4 linked regions of the Lonchura striata genome follow. The protein of the gene in region 1 purifies or fractionates together with the protein of each later gene. This does not show direct contact. Links are inferred from orthologs where the notes say so. Each region holds a gene or a part of one and is shown in the gene's direction. Other genes may lie near its edges.

What was found.
Region 2: the proteins of STK25 (region 1) and CAB39 purify together in Homo sapiens (co-immunoprecipitation; 3 studies listed by BioGRID and IntAct, counting the BioPlex papers as one, with this or other methods). This does not show direct contact. The link is inferred for Lonchura striata from reciprocal best matches to the Homo sapiens genes STK25 and CAB39.
Region 3: the proteins of STK25 (region 1) and PROSER2 purify together in Homo sapiens (affinity purification with mass spectrometry; 3 studies listed by BioGRID and IntAct, counting the BioPlex papers as one, with this or other methods). This does not show direct contact. The link is inferred for Lonchura striata from reciprocal best matches to the Homo sapiens genes STK25 and PROSER2.
Region 4: the proteins of STK25 (region 1) and CTTNBP2NL purify together in Homo sapiens (affinity purification with mass spectrometry; 6 studies listed by BioGRID and IntAct, counting the BioPlex papers as one, with this or other methods). This does not show direct contact. The link is inferred for Lonchura striata from reciprocal best matches to the Homo sapiens genes STK25 and CTTNBP2NL.

The regions. Positions count from the first base shown.
Region 1 is NC_134612.1:4,926,749-4,934,368, reverse strand, and holds the start of STK25 (serine/threonine-protein kinase 25), read left to right. Parts: upstream 1-4,610; 5' UTR 4,611-4,720; intron 4,721-4,726; exon of another isoform or gene 4,727-4,838; intron 4,839-5,463; 5' UTR 5,464-5,548; coding exon 5,549-5,578; intron 5,579-7,620. UniProt on the Homo sapiens protein: Oxidant stress-activated serine/threonine kinase that may play a role in the response to environmental stress.
Region 2 is NC_134612.1:2,237,478-2,245,297, forward strand, and holds the start of CAB39 (calcium-binding protein 39), read left to right. Parts: upstream 1-4,808; 5' UTR 4,809-4,925; intron 4,926-6,536; exon of another isoform or gene 6,537-6,554; intron 6,555-7,820. UniProt on the Homo sapiens protein: Component of a complex that binds and activates STK11/LKB1. In the complex, required to stabilize the interaction between CAB39/MO25 (CAB39/MO25alpha or CAB39L/MO25beta) and STK11/LKB1.
Region 3 is NC_134607.1:67,129,823-67,137,468, reverse strand, and holds the start of PROSER2 (proline and serine-rich protein 2), read left to right. Parts: upstream 1-4,644; 5' UTR 4,645-4,752; intron 4,753-7,646.
Region 4 is NC_134632.1:5,718,723-5,726,198, forward strand, and holds the start of CTTNBP2NL (CTTNBP2 N-terminal-like protein), read left to right. Parts: upstream 1-4,476; 5' UTR 4,477-4,532; exon of another isoform or gene 4,533-4,635; intron 4,636-7,476. UniProt on the Homo sapiens protein: Regulates lamellipodial actin dynamics in a CTTN-dependent manner. Associates with core striatin-interacting phosphatase and kinase (STRIPAK) complex to form CTTNBP2NL-STRIPAK complexes.

The DNA.
Region 1 (7,620 bases):
CCTGCCCCAGAGCCACCAGTGCTCCCTGACAGCACGGTCAGCACGGCGAGGGCGCTAGGAGGGCTCTCCATGTGAGGAAGGGGGAACGGGTGGAAAGGCCTGAGCTGCTGCAGGCTGAGCAGCAGGCTCGTGTCCCCATCTCACACACCAGACCAGCTGCCCCATGCCCCAGGGACATTTCACAGCAGGCCATACCACACTGCTCTGCCCAGCTCTCCCAAGGATACCTGCACAGCCTCTCCCACAGCAGTGTCATAACACGTTTCTCAAGATGGACAGAACAATGCAAATCCGGGTATTTTGAGTAATTAATACAGAAAAATCTATCAGTGCTTGAACCAACCATGAAGATTTCACAACCCAGAGCAGGTAGGATGTAGAGTGCTAGCTCTTGAGGACCTTCCCTCATGGTTTGTTTTGGCCATAAATAGCTGGAGCAAGCCTGCAGTGGTACTAGACACTGTCTACTGACCAGCGTTCTTTGCTTTTATCAGAACATGGGGTTCCAGACTAACCTTCACTGGGAGGAGCATGTACAAAGGGGGGACAATGGAGCTGGGGAAGGGTCTGGAGCACAAGTCTGATGAGAAGGAGCTGGTAGGGGCTCAGCCTGCAAAGAGCTCAAGGGCAACCTCCCTCTGCTGCCTGATAGGACATGAAGCCAGGTGGGGGTCGGGCTCTGCTCCCAGGGAACAAGGGACAGGACAAGCGGAAACAGCCTCAAGTTGTGTCAGAGGAGGTTTAGATTGGATATTCAGAAAAAATTTCTTCCCCAAAAGAGTGGTCAGCCTCTGGCACAAGCTGCCCAGAGTAGTGGTGAGCTCACCATTCTGGAGGGAGAGTGTAGGTGTAGCACTTGGTGACACGGGCTGGTGCTGGGGGAACAGTTGGGCCCAATGGTCTGAGAGGGCTTTTGCAGCCCATAGGATTCCATGATTTTGTGTCTTACCACACATTTCCATACCCACCCACCCCCTCACCCCTGTCTGACCCAAGCAGGTATGCAACAGATGGGAATACAGTAATACAACTGCAGCATTTTTACCTTCGAGTAGGAAGGCAGCTCTGAGATGTCTTGCTGAAAAGTTCCTTGTTCTCCAAAGTATAGATCAAGGGTAGGGGACATCAGGAGAGAAGGTTACAGGTGTTCTGGTGATTCACTACACACTCCATAGCAAAAGGGAAAAGCAGAGTTACTTTAGTGGGACATTTAAGAACATGTCAGACAAAGCTTCTTGTAACTATTCACACCCTTCTCTGGACTTCATAGAAACATAGCCAGGTGTGTCAGCTCATTGGGCCAAAGCTGTAAATACCTGGGTCAGGATTTCTCTTATATATGAGAATTATAAAGGTTGTCTCAAGCAGTGTTTGTTCCACACTGCCAGCAGAAAACATCAAATTTTTTAAAATAGCTGCCTTTTTACAGAGAGAAGATTTATAACACATCTCTGATAAAGGCTCCAGTTCTGTGGACAGGAAAAAGCAGACTCCATGGGCACACAAAACTTGCCATGGGAATGGGGACTGCAGCACAGCTTACTTGTAAGTAGCTTTCATAATTGATGTAGGGTTTAGGGGCTGGGTGTTGAGCAGAAGACTTATTTAAATATTACATTTTAATGTCACCAGCTTTTAACCAAGTTTTTTTTATTATTATTATCATTCAGGAGGTTAATCCCTTTGCTTTAACAGAAAGAACTAGAAAAGGGAGAAGGAAAAAAGTAACAATCTTATCCTCTTGAAAAATCATACAATAGAGAAGACTTAACTTCTAAAAAGCAGTAAGAAACCCTAACAATAGAAGAAACCCCAAACAAGAGATTCCTTTGTTTTTCAGCTTGATTTCCCCACAGAATCAAGGTTAAGGCAGCCATTCAGCACACACAGCAAATATATGAGCTTACATGTGTAGGTATTTGACTTGTCCCTACTCAAAGCTCTTGACCAATTTTAAAAAGCACGGGAACAGGAGTAGGAACACGGAAAGCATGAAAAACATAAATTTTTGTTGAAGCAAAAGTAAGGACAGGTAAGAACTTACTCATACTTGCCATGAAGGCAAAGACTAACCAGCATGATCAGAATTAGCACAGAAGGAAGGGAGAGCAGCAAGGCTGGCTCAGCCCTGAGATCCCCCTGCTCCATCAGCAACAGGGGACTCCCTATCATCCCCACCTGCTCTAGGTACAAGGTAATCCTCCATACCACCCCAACAGACCCAGGAGGAGCTTACTCTGACAGCCAGAGGCAGGAGAAAACACAGTCCTGCCCAAAGTTCCCTTTCCCACAGCCCTGTTTCCCAGGGCCAGGTGAAAGCTGTAACCCTGAACACTCAGCAACTGAAGTCTTGTAGGCTTGGCCACTCCAGCACATAACCAACTCTCTGGTGCTTTCCTCTAGCTGAAATACCTCCTCTTCTGCACTTGCTTAGCTGGCTTTTTGCAAACATGGATCTCCTGGAGGCAAGGACTGGGTTTCCTTCAGTGGAGGTAGATGGTGCAATGCACAGGTAATTTTGGGGTACTAAAGCAAAAATTATATCTACAGACATCCACAACTTGTAGTATGATTGTTCTGTAGTCACAATTGCTAAAATAAATGAAAAAAATAAAAGAGGGAGATCCAGCCCGCTAGGAATACAGCACTGACTGAAAACCAGAGAGCAAGACTTTGGTTTCAGTTGATACATTCTGGAAATAAAATGGAGGTGATGATGGATACAAACATGCCATAGACAACCATGGAGAAGTCAGGCACACCTGCTTCCCCAGAATCAGCATTTGTTTCTGTATTCTTCTGAGCACATTAATAATCCTCTCCCCTACAAAACAGGCCCAGAAACAGCTGCCTGACAACAGAGCAATCATCTCTAGTCCCTGTACCCCCAGCTTGTCCCAGACAAAGTGTCCAAAGTGACCAGCTACTGATCCATAAATGGTTTCCTCCAAGTGGTGGCCAGACCAAAATCCCACACACAACCTCTCCTGTCCCAGCCATAGAGCAACAGGCTACGAAGCGGATGAGGAAAAACACCAGCCCACATTTGAGTTCCTCTGTGTCCTGTGCTCCTGAGGCAGCTTTAGCAGTTTTAGAAGGAATTGCCATGCTAACCCCACATGACAATCACCCTTTTGAAAGACTTATCCTGAACTGACAAAACCAATTAATTGCTACTCCTGTGTGTATGTTCAGACTTGGCACATTAATTAACGTAAGTCCTCTGCCCTTCTGTTGGCCTCATGCCAACAGTGGCTGAATTAATGACTGTCCATGTGCTAAGAGGTGGAGAGCTGCGGCATTGAGGTCAAACAGTCATTAAGTAGCATACACAGGGACTCAGGGAACAGCTCACCCCTTGGTCCTTGCTACAGTGGAACCAGAGCAGAACTTCACTATCCTTCCTTTCATGGTTCACATGAAGCTTTGGTTTCTCTGTTCATAGATCTAAGTAAAGGTGCCATGCTGGGATAGTAAAGGTGCCATGCTTGGAAGAGGGCTGTTTATGAGACAAGATGGTCTGATTTTGTGGGGCTAGAAGGCTGGTCCTGCAGGTATAAACTCACGGCCCCAGCAACCCAAGGATCCTATAGGCAAGAGCTTTGTGCAAACCTCCCAGTGAGGTACAGCTGATTTAAATACAAAACCAGAATCTCACTGCGGGAGTTTTTGACACCTGTACTCTATCTATTTGATGTTTTCACTCAGGTACCTCAAAGTGCTGTTTGATTTGATAGGGGGCAGAGAAACAGAGAGAAGGGAGACGGATGGGGGAGGCAATGCAGGAGGGAATAAGAGGACTGTGGGGGAGCTGCTGGCTGCTGCCAGACCCATCTGTTCACGCAGCGACAGCTCCAGGGCTGCTCCTCTCGCTACAGCTCACCTGTGCTCCAGGGCAGCGCCAGCTCCCCATTAGAAGCAGCAGGTTGTGATAAAGGCTTTGTGTGTCGGCGCCACGGAAAACCTGTGCCTGCTTTGTTCACTGCGGGACCGGCCTTAAAGCTGCCTGGCAAGCGGCTAAGAAAAAAAAAAAAAAATTTATTCCTTTGAAAAACGTGAATCAGTCACTGACATTACAGCACGTGAAAGAAAACCCAACCCTGCGGCTGCTGAGAGCGAGGCCATGAGGGAGCTTCCGTCCCTCGCCTGTCCTCCTCCCGCTCCGCCGCCTCCCCCGGGGTCTGGCGTGCCCGGGGGTGGGGAGAGGACAGCCCCTGACCCTCACGGGCAGGAGAACAGCTGAGGGCGGGCCTCCCTGGCGTCACCCGGCGGGCTCCCGGGCACAGTCCCGTAAGGGCTGGCGAGAGGAAAGCCCCGTGAGGCTGGGCTGGCAGCACAAAGCGACTGCCCCGCCACCTCCTCCCCGTCACTGCGGGGCCGCCGGGCCGGGCAGCGCCCGCCCCCCGCGCCTCAGGACTCCCCGCCCCAGCCACCCCCGCGCCGCCGCCCCGCCCTGCGGCTCCGCCCCGCCGCTGCGCGCGCGGCATCCTGGGTATTGCAGTCCAGGAACTCAGTCCCGCTGCCGGGTTGCGCGGCGTGGAAACTACATCTCCCGGCGTGCCGCGCGGCGCGGCCTCCCCCGCCGCCGCGCCGTGTTGTTGCGCCCGGCCCGGCGCTCCCCCCGCCGCGGCTGGTGTCGCGGGGCAGCCCGGGGCGGCGGCGGCTCCGTGCGCCAGGGCCCGGCATGGCGCTCCCGTCGGTGGCGCTGCGCTGCCCCTAGGTGCGGCGGCGCCGGGCGGGGCGGCCGTGAGCCACGGAGGGACCCTGAGGGTGCCGGGCGGGGCGCGCCGAGTAGCCCATGATGGCGAGGGGAGCGCGGGAGGGGGGAGAGCTCTGAGGTGTGAGGTGGGACGCGGTGTCCGTGACGGGTGTGGGGATAATGTGGGGCCGCGCCGGGACGGGGGGTGCTGGGGTCGGGGGCCCTGGAGTGGGCTGGGCCGGGGCTCAGCTGTTGCTGGGGTGCAGGGGAGGGCCGCTGAGGAGAGGCCGGGGTGGTGCAGGGTTGGTGCTCCCTGAAGAGGAAGGTGCGTGCTGAGCAGCTGAGCTTTGCCAGTGGCCGTGCCGGGGACAGTGGGAGCGGAGGAGCGCTCTCAGTGAGGGGATTGCTGAGCAGGAGAAAAGGATTGTCTGAGGATGATGCTGGAGAAGATGCTGGGAGTGATGGTGAGGCAGAACTGTGGGGTTAGCTGTAGGAGCATGCTGAGGTGATGGTAGGGAAAATGGAGCCTGGGACTTGGTCAGTGTGTAACATTGGAGTGAGGCTCCTTGACGCATCTGGAAGGCATTTCTGTAAAGAATTGAGAAATGCGGTGTGCAAGGAGGGCCTAGCATGCTCAGAACGTGTTGGCAGGTACAAGTAGCACTTCAGCTCAAGGAGAGAAAAAAGATGCTGGTAACTCTTCAGGGGAATGAGCCAGCTTCCAAGAACCTCACTTGAGAACTATGTATTCTTGCTTGTCACAGCTGACCAGTGGAGAAGTCATCACTTTCCTGCTGTGCTGCAACATCCTAATCCTCCCTGATTTTGCAAAAACCCCATCCTGCAGGCATGGCTCACCTAAGAGAATTTGCTAGCCAGGTAAGTGGTGATTAAGAGTTTGTTTTAAAACCCTCTTTAAGGGTTTACATAATGGTATTTGCTCTTGATAAAAGGGTTTCAAACAAATAACCAGAAAATCACTTTTCGCCACTCTTTATCTCTGTTGCACAGGTCTCAGCTTACTCCTGTTAGCTGATTGACCTGTGTCTGACTCTGTACCTGGTGTTGGGCTGATAGTGATGTGTTAGCCATAAACAAAGTGAGTTCTTCACCCACTATGGAGGCTTTCTCTGGGATTAAGTGTGCACTTTTTAGGGAGATGGGAGTCATTGGCTTTCTGAGCATTTTTTGGAAGGAGAAGTCTAGAAATGGGAACAGAAAAACTGTGTATGCTGGCCCTGCCAGACATACCTTTCTAAAGTGTTCATGGCATTAGTCTCAGAAAAATGGTGCTTGTAACCTTGCTGCCTAAGAGGCAGTGATATTTGATACTGGGTCATAACTCTTCCAAGAGATCTCAGCCTCTGTGAATGTGGTTAAATGCTGCTGTTGTGATGACATTTTCACAAGAGGAGTGTGGAAAGATGATGCCAGGATTTGGGACTAAAAGCTAAACCATATTAATAGTATTGGCTTGCATCTTCTTCCCTCTGAATTTGGTTGTGTTTGATTATTGGCAGATGTCAATACTGAACACAGGTCTTCTTAAACCATGTTTGGGGGCATTATTCTGTTCTGCTCCTAGGTGCAGAATTACTAAAAGATTTAGTGGTTTGAGCTAATGCTCTCTTTGAACCTTTACTGATTTAAAATTGATTTGCAATGCATCTCAGTTTGCATGCTGTCTTTCACATCAACTGTTTCCCCAAAGTGTGTATGGAATTAAATGTAAATATAATGCCTGGCTGAGTCACTGTACAGGGAGAGAAGGGGAAGGATACTGTCTGATTAGGGCTGAGAACAGTTCTGTAGCTGCAGAGGAGGTTTCTCTGAAGCTTTTTTTTGTACACAGCATTCACTCATGAAGCTTATTAGCATTCTAGTGGTTTCAGCTCTGAATTTATTATGGAAATGTTAGGCATTCTCAGACCCTGTCATCCCATGACTGTCTGGTCTAGGAATAGAAAACCAATCTGTGTTGTCCATTCCTCCAGTCTTTTCAGGAATCCCTGATGTGACTGAGGCTTGCTGGGAGGGCAGTAGGAACTGGCCTGAAGTTTTCTTCACTGGGATTTAGGGAGCAGAGGGAGGTGCTGTGAAAATCAAGAGATTAAGACTTGCATTGGGCTGTCAGAGGCTTGACTTGTCTTTGATTCTCAGTTCTGGTGCTGATGGGCAGAGTTACCTCAGGCCACTGCCCAGACTGCTCTGCCTCTGTGGTGCCATTTCCCTGCCTCAGCTGGTTGTCTCCTCTCTTTCCTTGGCTCCCTTTGCTGTGAGCAAACAGTGCTGCAGGCCTGCAGTCTTGGTCTGGAGCTATATCTGCCAGGGGATGTAGTTGTGTTAGCTACTATGTTTAAAGCTTTGATTTGAGCTCTGTTTCTAGATTTGTTGTTCCTTACCTGACCTTGGAGAAGCCATTTAGTTTTTTTTGGCTAAGTAATGCTTCATCTCCTGAAGCAAAAGATTACTGTCTGTGAAGAGAGTTGGGAGTTTCAAACAGTGTTTTTCAAAGTGTTGAAAAACTTCCCTCTTTTCTATACTCCAGAAATTCAAAACTGTCCCAGGTTTTGGCAGTTGTAGAGAGCTATGCACAGATTTCATATAGACAAGGAAGCTTTCAAATTGTTCTAGATACAAAGCTAGTTTCACCAGAGACTGTTGGTAGCCCAGAGGTGAGTGTTCATCATGGGAAGTTGGGGAGCAGAGGAGGCAATGAAGGAAAGAGAAGAGCAGATGAGTTCTATTAAAACCAGCTTCCTTCTTCCACTGTGTTTGGCAGAGGAAAATTATGTTTGTTTGTTTGGCTGCTTGGAAAGTGCTGCAGTCAGAAATAACTCTTAAATGTGGCTGTGGTTTCACATAAACCCTTTGAAATTGCGCTCTTCCTGGTCAGCTTCAGCTCATAAAGTATTGTGGCC
Region 2 (7,820 bases), about 2.7 Mb from region 1:
TCAATACCACAAATTCCAACAGAGGAGAAGTGCAGAAAAGCTGTAGAGTCTCAGAAAAGGTCATGTATGTATTTGTTGGTGCTGTCAAGTGATGTGGGAAGGGCTCCTGTGCTAGCTGAGCCTGAATCCAGCTGAAGGGCAGTACTAAACCCCTGCCCCTGACAGGGTTCTGTTGTAAGAGCTAATTAATCAGTTTCTGCAAAGCCCTTTGAAGGGGTAAAAGGAGAAGCAAGTGCACAGCAGTGTTATCCAGAGGCTGTGAGCTTCAAAGTTTAACAGGCACTACTTAAATATGAAAAGTTAGTCACCTTGTAATTTCTTTAAAATGTAAAAGAACAGGGAAAGCATCTAAAAATAATCACCCAACAGTCGTTTTCAGCAGTGTTCACAGCCTTGTGTCCTTCTGCATGATTTGGGATTCTTACTGTATTTGCTTCCAGTTCAATTGAATTAATGGCTGTATTTGACTGCTTTTTTGTGTATGGTGTTTTGTTTTTTGTTTTTAGGTCAGGAAGTACATCTTACAGTACATTTTGCTGTTTCTTAGGGTGACATCTTTTACTTCCTTTCCTGTTTACAGTGCTGATGAAAACCTTGTTTTGGCTTCAGTAGTAGATCCTCCCTGGAAGTTGTGCATAACAGATAACTTTCAATTGTTCTACAGTAATAAAATGTTTATTAAAATTACTTGCTTTCCAGGAAAGGGATTTGCACCAGATTTTTTTTCTTTGATTTTTCAGGTAATTGTTTTCTCTTTTCTGACAATGTTTACATGCTAACCATTAGTTCTTGTAGTTTGCTATAATGTTTTTAAAATGTGTCCTAATTCTGAATTGGAACTTTAAATTAAAGATAAATCATTGAATCTCCATGAGGAAAAAAACTCTTAAGTGATATGAAAGACAATTATATTTAATTGTGTTTTCTACCATAAATAGGATTTTGGGTGTGTAAGTCTGCTCATTGTGTATTAATTGAATGAACTGAAATGTAAAAAAATACTCACCCACAGATGTTTCTTTGAGAAAAGCTTTAGGAGTCTGCAGTGAATGTCTCCAGGCAGTAATGGGTGAAATGCAGTTTCAGGAACTGTCAGAGGCACTCGTGATTAAATTAAGCCACTACAGCTTGGTTCAAAGTCCATGGAAAGACTCAGGATTCTTCTTCTGCTGAACTTTAAGCAGAAGAAATTAGCATAACTGCAGTTGTCCCTACTTGTAATATTTCCTCCCTGAAGCACTTTGTCAGGAGCCAGGAACATGGGCTCTGCTCTGGAAATCACACCAGTCCATGCCCAGTTAAAACACCTCCTGGGTGTTGGTTCTGTTCCCTCCTCGTGTGTTCCTCCAGACAGCAGGCAAGAGGAGCCAGAGTATTTTTTGAGATGATCTGTGTCAGAAGGCCATGGAGGCCTGGAGTCCATCCATCCCATGGCGTGGGTGACACAGCCACAGCACAGGAGTTTTCCAGGCTCCCTGCCTGCTCCCGGCACAGCTGGAGCTCTGTACAATCGGGGCTTGTGCTGGACACCTGTGACAGCTGTGTGGCACAGCTCCAGCTGTGACACCACCAGTAAAACTTGGGGCAGTGACACCCCAAAGAGTGCGGCTGGCTGCAAGGGCCGGAGGCACACTGCGTGGGACCTGCTGTGTGGGACACCTGTGTGGGCACACTGTGTGGGGCATGTGTGGGACACGCTGTGTGGGACATGTGTGGGACATGCTGCATGGGACATGCTGTGTAGGACACAGTTTGGGACACGCTGCGTGGGACACAGTGCATGTGACACACTGTGCAGGACATGCTTTGTGGGACACAGTTTGGGACACGCTGTGTGGGACAAAAGAGGCACTTGGGGTTTGCTGCCAGCAGGACAGTGGGGACAGGAAGGGAAGCCACGAGGGGAAAGGGCTCGTGTGTGCCATGGAAAAGAGAAGACAGAGCAGGAAATGGCTACAGGGCCTTGTGGAGAGCCGAGGGCAGAGCTGCCATGGCCCTCCAGGAGGGAACAGCTGCCCTGTGTGTGAGGTAAGGGCTGAAAGGAGAAAAGAGGGCAGCAAAATGGAGCTGCTTGAAGGAGGGGTAATTTCATGGGCTGACATATTGTTTTTCTCCAGTTTTGCTGTTTTTTGGTGTGGGATGGTGATGGGAGGAGTTAGAGCTGAGCTTTAGGGTTCCCTGGGCCCCCCACCAGCAGCAGAAAACCCCAGGATCCCATTCAGCTCTATCCTTCCTAATCAAAGCACCTGCATACTTGCCTTTCTAAATACCTTTTCTTCCCCCCAGTGAAGTAACTTGGATTTTTTTAATGTTTACTCACTTCCTAACTTGCAAGAATTAATTAATTCACAATGGATCTCTCAGTAATGGCTGTGAATTAGCGAATCATTAGTGTGCAAGGAGCTCTCTCACATGCTGTATTTAATCCCTGCTTCTAAGAGCTTAGGAAAATCATGCTCCCTCTGCTCAGGGATTTCACTGCCGTGTGCAGGGATGGCAATTGTACTGAACCCATTTCTGGTGTGATCTCTTTTCCAGTGGTCATTTGTAGAGCCGTAGTGTCTATTCTCCAGGAGCTGACATTGAATCCCTTTAACAGTGCTCCCCTTTAACTCCTCGTCTCTCCTCAGTACCCTGATTATTACATTTAAACCTGAATGCTTCTAGCCTAAGTATGGGTTAACCATTTGAACTCAGATATACACACCCTTTTCCTGCTGGCTTTGAAATCAAGTATTCTCAGCTCACAAGTGGGATATATGAGCTGCTAAAATTTTGCTGACCACATGTGAGTCCAGGTCCCATCATCTTGTACAGGCACCATGACCCTTCCTGCTTCAGATCCAGTACTGCTACATCTCTTACATCTTCCTACAACACCAAGTAAATATTTGAGGTAGATATAAATTATATAAGAGGTAAATATAATAAATATTAGGAATAAATGTAATGAATATAATAAATATTAATAAATAAATATAATAAATATTAGGAGGTAGATATAAATAAATGCTATGCATGCACACACACTTGTTTATATGCCCATGTCCTGTCCCCTGGCGTGCTGACCATGGCAGGATTGGCTGGGGCAGCCTCCCGTGGCTCCAGCATGGTGCCAGGCTGGACGCGGAGCCCGTGGTGCTTGTCCAGGGAAGTATCCTGTGGAACCAGTGCTGCTGCAGCCGCCCAGTGCCACCACCCAGTGCCTGCCCCTCTGTGCTCCCCTGCTGTTGAATGCTGGTGTGGCTGCAAGTGTGCTCAGATGCATTTTTCCATGTCCACACAGCTGATGAAGACCCTCCAAGAGGTCAAGAGGCAGCTCTGCCCACTGACATCTGAGGTTCACCAGCCAGGGATCTGTGACGTGTGGAGCTCAGAGCAGCAACACGCTCTCAACACTGAGAAACCCAACCCAAACCCTCCCCAGCACTGAGACAGGGAAGTGCAGCAGAGGGATGTGAGACACGGAATCAAGAAGAAGCTGAAGATATAAGTTTTCGGCTCACTAGAAGCATATGGACATTTTGGGAAAGCAGGTGCCACATGGCTGCATGCCAGTGATGCATCAGGTCTCCTGGGGCAAGGTTTCACCTCGTGGCTTGTAAGAAATTCATTACTTGTTCCATTAAAAATATATTTTCTGCTTTAAATGTATTGTTTTGCACTAATGGACAATATCAACTTGATCTATGCTGGGAGAGGTGTGGGCTTGTCTCCATCCAGGCTGATTTGCATTTGTCACAGTTCCAGTAATAGGTGAGTATTACATACAGGACAGAAAACCAGTCTGGAGTGCTTCCATGCCATGTTGGGGACTGCAGAAAACATCCAGGCTGTAAATCACTAGCACCTGATGCATCAGGACAATCAGACCATGTCCAAAGCACGATGCTGAGTTCCAACCCCACACTGAAGCCCTGAGGGTCGTGGCATGGAAAAGAAGTTTTGTGACACTACAGAAGGTGTGAAGGGTCTGCAAAAGGGCAGGGCAGAGTGGGGTAAAAATGATGAAAAGAATGGTAAGTACAAATAACAAATGAATAAATACCGATAAATAAAATTTAAATAGTAATTACAAAGGCAGTTAACTACAAATAAAGAATAAAGGAATAAATTTCACCTCGAGTTCTGTGTGCAGGTTTTGGACCCTCACTTTAAAAAGGACATTGAGGTACTGGAGCATGTCCAGCGAAGGGCACCAAGGTTTAGAGGTTTAGAGAGGTCTAGAACACTTGTCTTACGAGGAGTGGCTGAGGGAGCTGGGGTTGTTCAGTCTCCAGGAGCTCAGGAGGGACCTCCTTGCTCTGTACAACTCCCTGGCAGGAGGCTGTAGTGAGATGAGGCCAGTCTCTTCTGCCACGTCTGCAGTGAGAGGACCAGAGGAAATGGCTTTAAGCTGGGGTGGGAGAATCAGATAAAATATTAGAAATACATTTTTCCGTGCTCAGGAGGTCAGGCATCAGAACAGGTTGCCAGGGAGCTGGTGGAGTCCCCACCCTGGAGGCGCTCAACAGGCGTCTCCGCCTGGGGCTGGGCGCTGTGGTTGAGTGGCTGAGGGGCGCAGTGGCAGCGGGCGGATGGCTGGGGCGGATGATGTGGGAGGTCTCTTCCAGCCCCGGTGATCCTGCGACGCTCACGGGACGAAAAGCGCCGTGAACAACGACGCGAGGGAGCGGCCAGACCCGAGGCGGGCGCGGCCAGACCCGAGGCGGGCCCGGCGGCCCGCGGTCCGCCGCGGCGGCAGGGGGCGCTGCGGCGCCGCGGCGCGGCCGGAAGCGCGGGCGGCAGGGCCGGGCCGGTGCGACGCCGTGAGCGCGGGGCGGGGGGGACGGGCCGGGCGAGCCGGGGCCGCGCCGCCTCTGCCGCAGCCGCAGCGCCGGAGCCGAGAGCCGCCAGCGGGCGGGCGGGGCCCGCCGGACGCACAGGTACTGGGGCGGCCGGGGCCGCGGGGGCGAGAGCCGCGGGCATTGTCCGGCGCGGGCCGGGCCGTGCCCCGCGGGCCGCGGGTAGCGCGGCCCGGCCGGTGCCCGCCGCGCTCCGGGCCCGTTTGTCCGCTCGGCGCCGGGAGAGCCCGGCCGCGTCCCGCCGGCCCGGGCGGAGGGCAGGGCCGGCGATAGCGGCCGCCGCTCCGGGGGCGCCGTGCGGCACGGCCGGGCAGCCCGAGGGGAAGGGCACGGCCGGGGCTGCGCTTCCCGTGCGGCAGCGCCCCGGTCCCCGAGCTGCTCGGGCGCCGAGCCGGGGAACCATCAGCGCGAAGCCGCGCCCGGCTCGGCCCGAGCGAGCCGCAGCGCCGGGCCGCTCCCGCGGAGGGGCCGCGCCGGCCCGGGCCGGGGGCGCTGCCGCGACCGCCGCTCTTTGTTCGGCCCTGCCGCACGGAGCGGCCGGAGGTGCGGCCGGCGCTGCCCTGCGCGGCCTCTCGGCTCCGGCCCGAGGCCTCTTCCTACAATTGTTGTTCTGAGGCAGCCCCGACGGGCCTCCGCAGCGGCGGCCGTGCGGGAGCGCTGCTCGGAGCCTGGTCGCTCGGCAGGCTGCTCCACAGCCAGCCAGCGCTGCCTGATCTCGCTGCTCCGTAAGAAAAGTTTTATCATTGTTTTTTCCCCTGCAGATCGGCGGAATGCCGCCGGTACTGGAACTAGGATGTATCCGGTTTTGCTATTTAAAAAAAAAATTATATTTTAATTTCTGGTGAGGGATCATGTAGGTGCCCAGGATTTATTTAAAACCTATATGCTGTCTTGTGGGAATGGTGTGATTTAATTTGCATGATGAGTCAAAGATTAAATTACATGACCTAGGCTCTTCAGTTTCAGTGAGGCAAATAACAATGCGTGGAAGAACAGTTTCAGTGTAGATCAGAAATTAAATTTGATTAACATCAAAATGTGGTAAAGTTTTGTCTGCACGTGGGGTTTTTTTTAAACTTACATGTCAGAAACTCTTAATTCAAGATCCTTAGCAGTGTGGTTTATCAGGAAGTGTGTCTTCCTTTTTAACACCTAGAGCTCATGTAGTCAGAGGAAATGTAACATCCTGAGCTTGCACCTTGGTATCGAAGCTTTTAAATAATAGCTTTTTACTATTTAAAACGCTGTGTAGCTTTAATTGATATCTATTACCTAATACTTCTTGGTGTGGCACATGCCTTTAACTGCAGAAGAAGAAAAGGGCCACAAAGTATTTGTGAAGTAGAATAAGCTCTTATGGGCTCAGGAGTAAGTTGATTTTTTGTTGTTTTTAGTTGTCCTGTAGAAGATGGCACCTGTCGTGATCTGTAAGTGGCGTGATGGTGCCTTGATTGGTTTCTGCCTGCCGTGGACTGGCTGTTGGAAGAATATTGTATTTCACAGTTAGCTTCATGGTTTTTGTGTGGTGTGAGAAACGACTGGGTCAGCCAGCTAGGATGCACTTGACTTAAATTTATTTGTATTTGATGGGGATCTCATTACTAGTGTAACATACCTGTTGTTGGAGCTTTCCTTGGTCAGACAGAAGCACCTTGGGACAGGAGGAAGTCACGCCTGGTGGTGTTGGGACAAGCAGGATAGTCTTAGAATGTGAGTTTGTACATATGGACTAGCATGCTGCTGAGTTTTTCTGAATGCTGATAGCATTGATTTTTTTTCTCTTAAGTTTAATGACATGCTCTTCTTTATGTTGACACAAAGTTCTGAAATTTTGATGTGTTCTGTGTGTGTTGAGTGCACAGTTGTGTAAAACAGAATTTATATTTGTAAAAATATGTATGTTTACAAATAAAAGCAGCAGTTGAGTAATACTTTGTGACAGTATGTCTTTGAGAGATAATTATACACTTTGGGTATTATCAAGCCCAGACAAATGTATATTCCCAGTGGGGTGTGATAATATTAAAACTGCACCTCTTGGAATTCCTTGATTGGCTTATTCAGGAGGGAATGGTGTCTCTTTTTCTGCATTCTGTCGTGTAGCTCTTATTAATTAATGGCTGGTGGTTGAATGAGACTTGACTGTTGCCCTGTATGTGTTGCACTTCCCAAGGTTTTTTATGGCATTTTGGTGAATATGAGAACTACTAGCCAGTGTCTTCTCTTCTGAATAATTTCTTTGTTCAGTTTTGCAGATTTGTTTACATGAATTGTTTGCAGCCTATTTTTTTGTGTAAAATACTTCTGAAAGCTGATAATCTCTGTATGTGCTTTAGAGGCTTTAGACACTTGCTAAAATAATGCTTTTTTGTGGAGTTTCAGAAATAGCTGGTGCTGCTTGGAAGCAGGGGGCAGGAAGAAGCCTGGTGGCCTTTTGAATTCCCTTCTGGCCCTGCTTTTCTGTATTTGTGACACTGTGTAATATGGTTTAATTACAAGAGCAGCTATTAAAGTATGATTATCTTAGTCTAATTGGAGGCATCTTGCAGTTACCTATCAAAAATAAGATTTGACTCATCTGCTCCTTCAAAATTAATAGTTCCATAACAGCCTGCAGCTATTTATGTAAATAATGTGCAAAGCAAAAATGTGAGTTGAATATTTTTCAAATATTATCCTTTCTGCATTGTAAAGCTGAAATTTTGTAGGTGTTATTCTCTCTCTGCCCATGTTTTCTCTCGATACCGTGCTTCAGGCACCACGAGGTGCAGAGGTGTGAGCCAAAGGGAAGTTGAATGTCTGCAGTGAGAAGGTGAAACTTTATGCTGAAATCCTCCCCACCCCCCAAGTGCAAACACAAAGGTTAAATTAGAAGATGAGGCTGTCTTGAATTATTTTAAAGGACTTGAGCTGGGCTGTTAAATGCACGATCAGGAGTACCTAAGGCTTACGCTGGTGTCATGTGAGTTTGGGCTT
Region 3 (7,646 bases), on another chromosome or scaffold:
GTGCCCATCTAGAAGACTCCATTGTCTCTGAACCACCAGACTGTTCAAACTCATCTCTCACTCTCCACACATGTACCCTGATCACCCAGGAGAGGGATGGAAGTTGCTCTCTACAGCTCAAAGATATTCCTGTCCCTACAGCAGTAAATCTAGTTTCAGATCTGTTTCCCTCAACCTAAGTATTTTCTCCCACAACAGTCAAACCAAATGAAAAAAACTTCTGGGCAAAAATAAAAAGATACGAGCACCTCCCAAAAATAATCACTGAATCATAGAATGGCCCAGGCTGGAGGTGACCTCAAAACATCATCAAGTCCAGTTTTTCATGGAGAAGGGAGCCTTGTTGAGATTATGTAGTACCCTGTTCAGTGACATCTTGAAAACCTCCAGCTCCACCTGGTTCCTTGGGGAGCTTGTTCCCGTGAGTGACTGTTCTCAGCATAAAAACTGTTTTTCATATAAAGATGAAACCTCTTCTTGAGCAATTTGTACTCATTGCCACTTGTCTTCTCCATGTGGGTCCTTGAGAAGAGAGAGCCTCTTTGTGGTAACCCTTTAAGTGCTGGACTACTCTGATAAGGTCTCCCCAAAGTCTTCTCCAGGCAGAAAAGACCTAACTGGTCCTTTCTTCACTGGGTGGGTTCTCCAGCCTTTTGATCATCTTGGTAGCCCTTCTTTGGACCCTTTCCAATCTGACTGTGTCTTGAATTGCATAGATCAGGAGCAAACACAGTATTCCAGGTGTGGCCTGGCCTCTAATGGGTTCTTGGTTATATTGTCCCAGGTGCAGGACCATGCCTCTTGTCTTGTCAAATAAACCTCATACAGTTCTTGCTAGTCCACTCTTCCAGCCCTTCCAGGTGTCTTTGCAAGACTACTGTCACTTCTGACATGTCCACCTCACTACCCAGTTTAGTGTCATCAGCAAACTTGGGGAGGGAGCTTTCAACCTTGTTTTGTTTGTTTTAAGCTGTTTCACTACACAAACCTGCCTGACCACAAAACAAAAGCCACAGAGTTGGCAGGAGGGAGGCAGCAGTGACATCTGGGCTGGGATAGCTGACTGCTACTGAGTCACAGGCAAAGCCCCAGGTTTTGGTTACTGTAAGTTTATCTCATTGCTTGGAAATGCATTCTGCCAGCTGAGCACTCAAAAGCAAGGAGTGCTGTGACACTGAAGCCTTCCTTTGGCTCTGGCTGTTAGTGCCCAGCCAAAAAAAGGAAGTGGTCAATCAAGGGGAAAAGTTGTATGAATCAGTCCTGGAGCACATTTTGTGTGGGATTACGGATTGTAAACAATAATAGTGATCTGCTGTTGGTACAGTACTTTGTACAACAAGCCATGCTCTTGTCTGGAGGTTTCCTATGACCACTCTTATGCAAATAACAAGTCATGATAATACCATGTTTATCACAACACTAAGTCAACCATAATGACTATAAATGTAACCTGACCTTCACTTTGGCTAAACCCTATTTCTTTCATGGTTATCTCATATCTCAGTATACATTTATTTCCCTATTTTGTCTATCTGTTGCCTGTTCTTTTATTTTCCATACACTGCCTCACACAAGAGGCTCTGAACTTTAACCATGGAGCTTTCTATGTCTACTGAAATTCAAGTAAAAACCAGATAGCTTCCCATCAGTCTAAGTTTTGGGGGTTTGTTTTTTTTTTTTTTTTCTGACTGCTCCATTCTACCAATTCTTATCAAATCCAGGACACATACAGAGAAAAAGAAAAGACAGACCCCAAATGAAAACTGTTCGTGAAAAAAGTCCAAATCAGGTGACTAAGACCCTCTTTGATCACAGTTGCTTAGTTTAGTGTGTCAATTCTCAGTTATATGCAGTAGTAAATACAACAAGCACATTCTGTGAGAAGAAACACAAATTTTGGCCTGTAACACAAGGCAAAGGAGTCAGACTGGCAAGAGGAGTTTTATGAACATGGGCTTGTTCTCTTGTGCCTCTGTTTTGGGCAGCATTACAGCGTACAGACACTGACAGCTGGATGTGTCACCCTCCACTGAGGCAGGAGGACGATAGAAGAAATTCGAAACGCACATAAAATACTGTTTTGCTACATTAAGTATCAACCAGAAATGTCAGTATCACATGTTAATTAATGATTAATGCTGGGGGAAGGAGATGCATACCTGACATATTTTTAAACTGGTATAACGAGTTTTCACCGAGCAGAGGAGGGAAGTTCTCTATAATACACAGTAATGGGCTGTGTACTTGGAACTGTGCTCCATAAATTTCCCCACCTTCAGGACAGAATGTGTCAACACACAGCTGGTCTCCTAGAATAAACTCAGTGCCAGGACTAGTAATCAGTAATGCTGAAGAATGAGGAAAGAGGGAAAAAAACATACAAATGGTTATCAAAAGGACAAAAAACCTCTTTTGGACTCACCTGTTGACAGGGCACATTTTTAATGTGAGACTACACCTGATATTACAAGGTGATAAGAGTAAATCAAGAAATAAAGAAAATAACACTGTGGAGCTGATAAAGCCCTGTAACTGTAAAATCTTCCTCAGAATGATGTCCTACTTAGTAAGGAGAAATTTAACTCAGGCAGGTTGAATTAGCATATAATACATTGCAAAAATAATACATTGACGTTATCTAACATTCTACCTTGATGAATCTCAAAGCACTCTCCCTTTGTGTATTGATGTTCCCATACTGGAAATCTGTAAAGTACAAGCTTGCCTTTAAGTATATTTTTGAATTAAATGTTCCCAGAACAGAGATGCTCTCCTTAGCTGGGGTGTCCATGCTATATGCAATAGACACCACTCCCACTTTGCTCCTTGATGAAATAAGGAGCTTTCCTCTCCTGTGCTGTTGTGTAAGAGTTGTTACGCAGGACAGGCATATGATCCCACACCAAGCTGTTGTCAGAGCCAAGAATAAAAGAGAAAGATGGGATTCATTTAGCCTAACATCAGCAAGCTCTAAGCTGGGCCCCCAGACAAGAGAGACACACAAGATTCAAGTCAGGTTTCACCACTACAACCACTAGAGACAGATTTTCTTACAATGTGGTTTGTCCAGCCTCTCTTCCACTGGTGGAAAGTCTCTCTCTCTTGGCTGCAGAATGACCAAAAAGCTTGGATTAGGCACCAGCTTCAACATAACCAAAAATTACATAACTAGATTCTTAATCATTTGCTTTCCTCCTGGACACTGCTCCTGTAGCTTTGAAGAACACTTGAAAAAAAAATTACACACTGGGAATGGGCTTACCTTGTCAACCCTCACTGACCCACATTGTATATCTCCCCCTTCCCTGTTCTGTAATGCCATTTATTTGGGTAGGCCCACATCTTTTTAAAACATTTCTGTCTTCCACACTTTGAGTACTTCTTGCGTTAGGAATATTTCAGCCACCACAGCGTGGGTGAAAAATAATGATTTCTGAAAGCAGCTTGAAATTTTTACAGTGCAATAGAATTCAAACTGCTAATTTGCTGGCTGCTGTGGCCTTGCACATTGAAGAAGGGAGTGGACACAATCACCTGATAAATACCTGTGACTGTGACTATACATTAGTAATAAATAAGAGTACAAATAGGCAATATTTGTTATTGAGCTCTTTAGTATATGGGTGGCACAGATTAACAAGGCATGTAAACCTTTTCCCCACTGAGGAGGCAGACTCAGGCAGTCGTGACAGTGATTTTTCTCATTTACCCTCACCATTTCCCAGCAGCTTAGTGGAGGGACAAGCCCCTCAGACACCAAACCCAACATAGTTTATGCCTCACAGAATCATAGAACCATAGAATGGGATGGGTTGGAAGGAAACCTTGAAGATCACCCAGTTCCAACTCCCTGCGACAGGCAGGGACATCTTCAACTAGACCAGGTTGCTCAGAGCCCCACCCCGCCTGGCCTTGAACACTTCCAGGGATGGGGGAGCCACAACTTCCCTGGGCATGATCGGGGCAGGTTTTACCTCGGGGTTCTCTGAGGCAGCCAAAGGTGTCACTGTCCCCTCTCCCACTGGGACCACCACGCACGCAGCTCTCTGTGTCTCATGACACAGTCTCATGGGTGCCTGTGGAGACCCATGTCCCCCACGCATTGGAGGGACACAGAATCACAGAGTCGGCCGGGTCGGGAGCAAGCTCAGCGGTGAAGCACAGGATTTTGTCCAGACTGTTCTGGAATATCTCCGGGGAGGGAGACTCCGCAGCCTCTCAGACAATCTGCTCCAGTGCTCGGTCACTGCTCAGGACAGAAATTCTCCCTCATGGTCAGGTGGAATTTCCTGGGCATCAGTTTCTGCCCTTTCCCTCTTGTCCTACTGGGTGGCACTACCGAGCAGAGCCTCTGACACCCTCCTTTTAGATACTGATAGACATTGATGAGCTCCTATCTCGGTCACCTCTTCCCGAGGCTGATCAGGCCCATCTCCCTACTTCCTCACAAGTGAGATTCTCCAGACCCCTGACGAACTTCGTAGCTCCAACACACCGAGCTCCGCTCCTCGCGGCGCCCCGGCCGCCTTTCGGAAGGGCAGGCTCCCGCCCTCACGCCCTGCCCCGAGCGCCGGGACAAAGGCGGCGGTCCCGCCCGGGCGAGGCGGAGCCGGGCCGGGCCGAGCCACCGCCCGGCCGCTTTATCCGCCCGCCGTGGGTGGCGGCCGGCGCAGTGCGCATGAGTTCTGCTCGGCGGAGCTGCTCCGGCCACCTGCCCGTCCTCCGCCGGGAGCGGCGCGGACCCCGCAGCCGGTGAGTGCCGCCCCTCCTCGGGGGGCTCCCGGCTGAGGGGGGCTCCGCTCCCCGCGGCTCGTCCCCGCCGGGGCTCGGGTCGCTGGCGTGAGGGGCGAGCTCGCCCCGCGCCGCCTGCCCCCGGCTCGGTGTCACTGCGGGGAGAGGCCGCGGGGCTGCGCGCCCCTGCCAGCCCGCCACGGGAGCGGTCCGGTGTTGCTCTTATTACCCACTAATGGATTTTTAATTATTCTTCCCTCCTGTTCCAAGAGCAGCGGCGGCCGGGACGCCGGGCGCTCCGTGCGCTGGGTGGCGGCGGGACCGGGGACAGGGCGCAGGGGCCGGCCCAGCCCCGCGGAGCGGCTGCGGGCCCGCGTTCGTTCTGGTACGCGGGCGGGGAGCAGAAAAACTATCAGCGAACTGCTGCCCTGCCGCGTGTGCGGCTTGGCTTCCCACTGTTGAGCTGTTAAATTTTTTTACCCCCGTGGATTTCTTGTTCTTTCCTAGCATAACCTAAAATTTTCTTCTGCTTATCGGTGACTTTAAGAAACTATATTTAAGCAAACGTTTCATACCTGTAAAACTTTGATGTATGCTGTTCCTGCCTGGCTAAGGGTGATGAGGAGCAGCTGCCTTATGCCTCCACTTTGCTTTCCTTGTCTGCAACTTAGGATTTCCAGTGGAAAAGCTGTTGGTGTAAAGACTGGCAGGTTTTAGTTCAGGATACCTTTTTCCCCTTCCCCCTCCAGGTGCCTTTTCCATCTGGAGGTGATAAGCATGAGATAGCTGGTGCTTCTTAAGATCTTAGGTGGTTTGGGTGAGGTTTAGTGCCCGTAAAGAGAAAGCACAGCCTTAAAAACGCTCTTGGGATTTTCAGTAATCCAGGATCTCAAGGGCATGTTTCCTGAGTAGTTTTTGTTTTAGTGTGGCAGCGAGAGGAGGTTGCTGGAAGTGGAGCTCTCTTGTGCTTGGTTCTGTGCATGGGTGTAGCAAGAGATGATTCCTGTGGTAACAAGCATGCAGATGGAATAGGAAAGAGATAAAACAGCCTCTTCCGAATTTTTCTAAACATTTTCCAAGGATTTTAAGCTGCAGCAAGTATCAGAAATGTAACAGTTATTTCCTTTCCCCTCTCTTTATGAAAGACTTCTTTCTAAACCCTAAAGTGTAAGTTTTAGCTTTAAAAGCTTTTGCAATTTCTGGCTTATGCTTATAAAAAGGTATTATTTTAAGACTTCGATACAGATCCTTGACTAATGCAGCATTGTAGATGGCCTTGCTTGTACAGGCACTACTTTAAAGAATTATGATTGTGGCTTTTCTCCTTCCTTTACAGGAATTACTGTTGTATAAGAGGGGAGCTGATGTTTAAACAATGAAAGGGGGGAAAATGTTGCTTGCTTGGGTCTCTATGAAAGGAAGATACTATTTATTTCTCAGAAATGGAATACATTTTCCCAGCAGTGTCTTTCTTATCAAGGATTTGTTTGGGGGTTTTACTATACGGAGTGAATGAGTAGACTTAATTTTTATGACTAGAAATACGAGTAATGCCTGGCATTAGAAAGGAACAGAGAGATTTATATATTGCATCTGTTTTGTCAGTAGTAAAACTCCTCTCATCTTGTTAGTTATAGCTGCTTTTTCTCTGCATGCCTCTGAGAGAAATATTAACTAAGAATGTTGGCAGATGGATTGCTGGTTGGATATAGTAACTGGAACAACTTAACTCCTGAGCAGTTGACAAGTCTCAGGCTGACTGACCTTCTGAAATACTGGAGCATGAAAATAAATGAGCATATGAATGTGGCTTTCAAAGCCAGCCAGACAGGCTGCTACTGTTACCAAATCCTCTCTCCTCCTTTTTTTTTTTTTTTTAATTAAAAAATAAAAGCAAGTGATTTTAATTTCCAGTATAACTAACTGCTTAAATATATTCTTTTCAGTTGGGTGTGTATGGATGATCCCTGTATCAAGTAAAGTCCAGGGCCAAGACTCTACTGCTCTTTTTTGCTAGTGCTGTTTTCAGCTTTGTTTACCTTGGGCAGACAGACCTTTATGTACTTACATAGGAATGAAATGTCCAAAATTAGTTCATTTTTAAAGTAAACACCCATGCTTTGTGCTTCAGACGTCCTCTGCTTTCTTCCCCACACCAGCACAGCAGTCACAAAAAGAAACATAGAAGAGCAGCCTAAAATCAGTTGTGAGACTGTGACACAGCTGTACTGGGGCTGAAAATTGTCTTGCTATCCTAAATACTGTGTAAAACAGGATTTGGCTCACCATTGCTGTGACTGTAGCAGCAGTTACATAATGAAACCCTAAACCCCAGTAATGCTGCACCTGTAACAAGACAGAAGTTGACTAATTACAGAGGCGTCTGTGCCTAAAATTGTTTATGTACACTTCATGGTTCTAAAGTGTTGGCTGTCACAGATAGCACCACCCTAATGTTAACAGGAGAGATTTAAAAAGAGTAACTTGAAAAGAATGGGACGCTTTCCTTGTTGAAATTTGCATGAAGCAAATTGAAGTCAGAGGAGAGCTCAGCCATCACCTGGATGTGTTTAAAGTCCCATGTGGGACTGGAGAGGCAGCTCTGGGTATCACATGCAGTTCTCCCACTGAGCAGGTGCTGGTTATCAAATCTCAACTGGAGAGTCCCAGTGAAAGCCTTATCTTTGCCCTTAGGTAAGACCTTAATCTACAGAAAAGTAACTACTTGTCACTGGCTGTGGTTTTATTTTTAGTTGGGGCAGGAAGTGATTCTGTCACTCTCAATGAGTGGGAAATGTGAGCACTTCAGAGATCTGTGGTGGTTCCATCCACAATGTTGTGTAGGAGCCTTTGCCATTGGCCTTCATTTCAGGCAGCAAGATTCAGCTGATGCTGCTGCTGATGTAGTGAGCTGG
Region 4 (7,476 bases), on another chromosome or scaffold:
GCAGCAAAGCAGTCATTTGAAAATAACGAAGAATCAGCTTTCCAAATGAGAAATCTCCCTCTTGTGTCATAAAAAACACTTTTCTGTATTACTTTTGGAGAAATGATGGCTGTTAAATCTTACATAATGTAAGACAAGCCTTCCTGAAGTGCTGAGAAAGCCAATTCAGATGGTGCTAGAGTGCCAAGGAATGGAAGGGAAACACTTAGCAATTGAAATTACAAATTGCCTGATTGGAAAAAGGGTTTTCCCAAATCCCTTGAACTGGAGCTGCTTCCTGGCTGCTGGCACGCTCTCACTGCAGCCCTTCACAGAGAACGGGAAGGAAGGAGCCACAGCGTGGCTCGGAGGGCTGAGGGTCCCGGGGCAGCCCGCTGCCTTTTCCCGGGGGGAGCAGGGCTGGAGCAGCTGCGGAGCCGTGCTGAGGCTGCGGGGACCTTGTGCTGCCCCTCCGTCCGTCCTGCTGGCAAGAGCCAGAAAGCAGCAGGGACCAGGAGCCGGGACTCCCATGGCCCTGAGCAGCCATCACCAGTGCAAGGACTTCTTGCTGCTGAGGAGGGGCTCACACTCAGTTGGGCACCACTGTGTTCCCAAGGGAGGCCATTTACTCAAGGGATAATGCTGAAAGGATTCTACCTTTTTTTTTTTTTTTTTAACACTAATTTTAGAAGACTGAGGGTTTTTTTGCTTATATACCATACATTTTTGTGAAATGCTTTATTCACATTTCCCTTTGGTATAATGGGATTTTTCTCAGTAACAACAAAATAAAACAGGAATTTAGAGTACCTTTCCACCATTCACTAGTTTAAAAGCAAACAATATCCAAACACTTAAAATCAAGGGTGCATTTTGAAAAGCAAGGCAAGGCAGTAACTTCTACTTTAAAAAGCCCTACAAGTTTTATGAAGCTATTTTACATGGCTCCAGAGTTTCAGGAGGGAAGGGAAAAACACTCAGTCAAAACCCAGAATATATTTTTATAGCCGCAAATTTTCTAAAATGAGACTATAGATCTTGTGTTAATATGGGGAGCCTTCAGAAATACACACCCACATGCCAGCACAAACAACACACAGCTCTAGAGATGGATGTCATACAATATTTAAAAAGAAAAAATACATAATTCCCAGGGAGGCAGGGCTGGCTCTTTTCCCAGATGGATTCTCATTCCGACAACATCAAGAACATGACAGATGTGCTTCTTCCTAATTGTTTGTGTTTGTGGTTTATCTCTCTTGCCTGTGATACTTAGGAGAAATCTCTCCTACCACTTCTTTCCCTGCTGGGGGTTTTTGGTGGTTGATCCTCGCCGGCAGGACAGGAGCCTGCCCAGTGCTGCGGAGGGGCCCCTCCCGGTTCCCCCCCAGCTTCCCAAAGAGCCGAGAGCTCCTGCTCCCATCCCACAGCACCCACAGCCCCCAGAGAGGCTCGCCCCGGGAGCCCCTGCCTCTTCCTGGGACTCGTGGCACAGGTCCCACAACAGAGCCAGGGAGCCAGAACCTCCTGCACAGGCCTGTGCCCGTCCTCATCTGTGAGCAGCTGCTGCAGCCACCCGGCCCTGTCCTCTCCTTGGCCCGTCTCTGCTGCTTCCTTCCACCAGAAACCCACCCAGCACAGACTCTCAGGGTACCTGATTTTTCTGCCTCTATCTGACACACCTGGCAATCACAGAATCACAGAATGGCCTGGCTTGCAAAGGACCTCAAAGCTCATCTCTTTCCACCTCCTGCCACGGGCAGGGACGCTTTCCACTATCCTAAGTTGCTCCAGGCCCCGTCCAACCTGACCTTGAACACTTCCAGTGATGGGGCAGCCACAATTTCTCTGGGCAGTCTGTGCCTGTACCTCTACTGCATGTTAAAAAGTGCAAAGTGTAAAGTGACCAAACAGCCTGGAGAGAAATGTCTTCCAGACCTCAAAAGCCTCCTCCTGTCCTGTGCAGATGATTTATTGCCCCCTCAATGCAGACCAGTGGGCAACTGAATATATTCTTTATCTTTAATTTTTTTTCTGTATAGACTCAGCCATTAAACCTTTTTTTCCTCTCAATTGCACTAATTTTAAAGGCTGCAGTTGTTTATTTGCCACCCCTGAGACCACCTAGGAGCTTTAGGACTCTGAATCCCTTCAGATGTTTGCAAGTGTCCTCACCAAGCCCCAGAACAGAGAAGCTTTTGGTGCCAGATGTTCCCTGATGTAATTCATGCATCCGTGACCTTTCCAGGCTCAATTCATCTCTAGTCAATCAGCCTCACGCAAAGCTCTTTCTGCACAAAGGTCTCCTTTCTCCTGCGTTCCCAGGAGTGGGACTGGGCAGCACCAGGAATGTTTGCAGCAGGAATGGCCAGCAAGCAGATGATCCCGCCGACGGTCCGTGCCAGCCTGGAAATACAAGGAAACACAGGCGCTCCCTTGCTGTTTTGAGATGTGAATGTTTTAGGTGTGCTCTGTGGAATTTGGAAAAGCAGCTCCAGCGCAGCCGCTCCCGAGCAGCGGAGCTGTGTCTGAGCAGGAGCTGTGGACGCGCGGGGGCGCGGCAGCCCCGCCAACGGCACCGGAGGTTTGCGGGCACCGGAGGTTTGCGGGCACCGGAGGTTTGTGGGCACCGGAGGTTTGCGGGCACCGGAGGTTTGCGGGCACCGGAGCGCGGGGATGCGCCCGGGCCGCACCGCTGGGCACACCTGAGCCGCACCGCTGGGCACACCCGGGCTGCACAGATGGGCACACCTGAGCCGCACCGCTGGGCACACCCGGGCTGCACAGATGGGCACGCCCGGGCTGCACAGATGGGCACACCCGGGCCGCACCGCTGGGCACACCTGAGCCGCACCGCTGGGCACACCCGGGCTGCACAGATGGGCACGCCCGGGCTGCACAGATTGGCACACCTGAGCCGCACCGCTGGGCACGCCCGGGCTGCACAGATGAGCACGCCCGGGCCGCACCGCTGGGCACGCCCGGGCTGCACAGATGGGCACACCCGGGCCGCACAGATGGGCACACCTGAGCCGCACCGCTGGGCACGCCCGGGCCGCACCGCCTCCCTGGGCAGCCCATTCCAGTGGGTAATCAATCCCCCTTTCAGTGAAGGATTCCTTCCTAACGTTCCAACTGAACCTCCTCCGGTGCAGCTCGGGGCGCTCCCGGTGGCGGGGAAGGCCACTGAACCGTTCTCGGCCCTGCAGAACCAGCGATGCCGAGCACACCTCGTGGCACGCTCAGGGGCGGAACGGCTGGCCGTGCTCTCCGCAGAAAGAAAAGGCTCGCTCCCGTTCCCGCTGTCTGCGGCTTAGCGGAGCGCTGGGTCAGCGGCTGGGGCAGCAAAAATCCCGCTGCCCTCGGCAGTGCGGCCCGGCGAGCCCCGGCTGCGGCCCCCGCGGGCAGCATTCCCCCAGCGCCCATCCCAGCGCACCCGGGGCCCTTCCATCGGCCTCGGCAGGTAAAGAAATCGAAACGCTGACTTCTGCACAGCACCTCCGCCCAGGAGCATTGCTCGGCCCTTGCGAAAGCTCCCCAGAGGGAAGTTGTGCCCGGCAGTGAGGGCGGTGCCCACGCCGAGGACCTGCCCGGTGAGTCACTGCCCAGGTAAGGCACTGCCCAGGTGAGTCACTGCCCAGGTGGGTCATTGTCCGGTGAGTCACAGCCCAGGTGAGGCACTGCCCAGCTGAGGAACTGCCCAGCTGAGGCACTGCCCAGGTGAGGCACTGCCCAGGTGAGGCACTGCCCAGGTGAGGCACTGCCCAGCTGAGGCACTGCCCAGGTGAGGCACTGCCCAGGTGAGGCACTGCCCAGGTAAGGCACTGCCCAGCTGAGGCACTGCCCAGCTGAGGCACTGCCCAGGTAAGGCACTGCCCAGGTGAGGCACTGCCCAGGTGAGGCACTGCCCAGCTGAGGCACTGCCCAGGTGAGCCCTGCTACAAAGCAGCACTGTTAGAAGGCTGCTGCACAAAGGAAACAGAGATATTATGGACGTCCTTGGGCCAACCATCAGTGTCCAGAGTGATGCCAAGTTCAGGCGCCATGAAGGCAGCAGGACCCGGAGTGTCGGGGGAGACGGACTGTCCCGCAGTGACGCGGGGCCGGGGCTCAGAGTCGCTGTGAGGGCACTGCCCTGCCACGGGCAGCGAGAGGGGTCTGAGGGCACTGCCCGTGTTCCCCTGTCCCGGGTTGGCACGGCCCTTCCCGCCGCTGGGACCCGGACCGGACCGGGAGCCGCCCGGGATACAACCGCGGGCCGGGGGCGGCGGCCCGGGCGGTGCCTCGGCCCCGCCCCGCCGGAAGTGACGCACCAATCACGGCCGCCCGCTCGCTCCGCCGCGAACAAAAGGGATTTTCAGCCGCGGCCCCGCCCTCCGCGCCGCCTCATTGGCTGTGCCCTCCCACGCCCCGCCTTCCCCGCGGCGGATTGGCCCGCGGCCGCAGCGGCGGCGGCGCTGATTGGCGGGCGGGCCGTCGGTCAGCGGGCGGGGCGGGGCGGCCGATGGGGAGCGGAGCGGCGGCGGCGGCGGCGGCGGCGCGGGGCCGGGCAGGTCGGTGCCGAGCCGAGCCGAGCCGAGCCGAGCCGAGCCGAGCCGTGTCCGCTCCCGGCTCGCCCCGGCCCGGCGCAGCGCTGCCCCCGGTGGGCAGGGGCAGGTGCGGGGCGGCGCGGCCCGCGGGGCTGAGAGGGGCGGGGGCGGCTGCGGTCGGGGCTAGGGCGGCCGCGGGCGGCGGGGAAGGGGAGGTATCGGGGGAACGGGAGATCGGGGGGCGGTGCCGGGGGCGCGGGGGCCGGGGGGCGTTACCGGGATGTGGGCGTCCCCGCCCGGTCCAGCCGGGCCCGGCGGACCGAAAGGCGATGGAGCCGGTGTTCCCCGCGCCCGCCTTCCTTCCCCGCGGCCGCGGGCTCCGGTGCGGCGTGTCTCTTTGTTCGCCGCGGTGGTACCGGGCCGGTGCAGCGCGGGAGCCGCCGAGCCCGGCCCCTGCCGCCCGTTCGCTCCCGGGCCGGTGCCACTGTCCCGGGCCGTGCCGCTGTCCCGGGCCGTGCCGCTGTCCCGGGCCGTGCCACTGTCCCGGACCGTGCCACTGTCCCGGGCCGGTGCCGCTGTCCCGGACCGTGCCACTGTCCCGGGCCGGTGCCGCTGTCCCGGGCCGTGCCGCTGTCCCGGGCCGGTGCCGCTCCCGGGCCGGTGCCGCTGTCCCGGGCCGTGCCGCACGGCCCGGGCCGGTCCGCTCCCGGGCCGTACCACTGTCCCGGGCCGGTGCCGCTGTCCCGGGCCGGTGCCTCTGTCCCGGGCCGGTGCCGCTCCCGGGCCGTGCCGCTGTCCCGGGCCGTGCCGCACGGCCCGGGCCGTACCACTGTCCCGGGCCGGTGCCGCTGTCCCGGGCCGGTGCCGCTATCCCGGGCCGGTGCCTCTCCCGGGCCGTGCCGCTGTCCCGGGCCGTGCCGCTGTCCCGGGCCGGTGCCGCTATCCCGGGCCGGTCCGCTCCCGGGCCGGTGCCGCTCCCGGGCCGTGCCGCTCCCGGGCCGTGCCGCTGTCCCGGGCTGACCCGCGGTGCTCGCCCGTCCCGGGCCGGGGTCGGGGCCGGCAGGAGGGGCGAGGCTCCCGGGGCTGAAGGTCAGCAGCCAGCGATGGTTTCTGTTCTCTCTCAAGGAGCTCCGGTTGCTGCACAGGGGCTTCAAGGAGCCACACAAAATCCATGTCAAAATTGTGCTAATTTTCTTCCCTCTGAGTATTACTTCAAAAACTAATGTGGTGAGGGTGTTTCTTTGAGGGTAATGCCGTTTTTCCTTTAGGGCTGAGATACAAAGGTGGAGGAAATATAAACGCTTCTCATTTTAACCGAGACCACCACAGTAGTGATGCAATGCCAGGTAGCATTGTGGATGCACAATTATTAAGTCTGTTCGCATTTTTTCATTGCATAGACATATGTAATTATTGAAACTACTCAAACGCCACCCGATACACGCAGAAGCAATTTTGGGAACTTGTCTATCAGGACTTCTCAGACTGGTCATTTAGGTTCTCCCATTAATGTCATTACACGACTGCCCGTGCTGTCTTCTGGAAAATATCAGTTCCTCTTCAGGAACACAGGAAGGAAAATTAAGCTGATTCAGAATTATGGGCATTGTGGCATTGTTGCGTTGGTGTAAGTTTAGGAAATGCCCTCTTTCAAAGGAAGTAGGAGCAACAAGCTTTGTTCTTCATGATGTTTTTTTTTAAAAGTAGAAGAGTTTTGAGCTGGGGGCTCGCAGAGGATCCTGAAGCTGCCCTCCCCATGCCTCAGGCTGTGCGTTCAGCTCCCCTTGTGTTCCTGCCAGTGACTCCAGCCCTTGCTGAGGTCGGTGGGTGAGGTTCTCCTGTGCTGGCAACCTTTTCCCGGTGGGTTCGTGCCCCTGTGTGTGTGAGAGCAGTGAAATGTAGCTTGGCATGGTTTCATGATCCTCCCGCCGTGATTGAGGGTGCAGAGGAGCTGCCAGGGCTGCCAGCTTATCTGTGTGTTCCTCAAGTGGCACATGCCAGAGATAACTCCCCCGTCTCTTGGCTCGCGTGCTTGTACGGACACTTAAACTGCTCTCGATGGTTATTTTCAGTGAAATACTGGGAAATAACTTTCTTAGAAAGGTTTTATCTCCTTGTGGGTGGGTATGGGTCTGTCAAGGAGGCTCCAGTGGTTCACAGCTGAAAGGAAGCTCACCTTCAGGCAAGCAGAAAGTGATTATTTTAGTTTATGCTCTAAACTCTGGCTTATTGTCCAAAAATGGCCGTGTATCTTAGATTCGGGGCAAATATTTATATAATCAGACTAAACAACAAGGTCTTTGTGGTTTGTGATCTGTGTGAGTGCACTCAGAATATTTCCCTGGATGTAAAGGGGTAACCTTCCCTGGGAGTTGCTGGATCTTGTTTCTGATGCTGGGAAGCTCTCTGTGTCTTGGTTAAAGGTTTGGAAATAGAGTCAGGTTCCCCAGCTGAGGTGCCCAGATCACTCTGGTAGAATGAGAATGTTTCCAAGGGGGGAATTGGGTAATTTAATAGAGTTGGTGTGATTTTTTGATTAGAAGTTGGATGAGGGAAGGCACAAGGATGTGTAGCTTGAAAGCAGCTTTGGAAAAGTCAGCTCAGGATCCTGGAAGGATGGGAATGGATTTGGGTTTAGATTTGGATAGGGGAAAAGGAGCTCAAATACATGCTTATTAGCTCTCTGATCCAGAGATGCTTCTTGTTTCTGTAAATTAGTAGCATCAAATGAATAGGGCTTTTTTGTCCCCTGAATTTTCAGCTCCCCAGAGTGGCCCTTAAAGGGAATGTTGGGATTGTGACCCATTCAGCATAACAGACATCTGCCTGGGGTGCTGTAAAAGCTCCCTGCAGATCACTGGAGGATTCAGGTACATTTTGGTGGGTGTTTTTAGAGCAGTGACTTCATTTTTATATCTGCTCCCAGTCTGTTCCCTCAGCAGTGTGAAGTAACCGATGCAAACAAAGC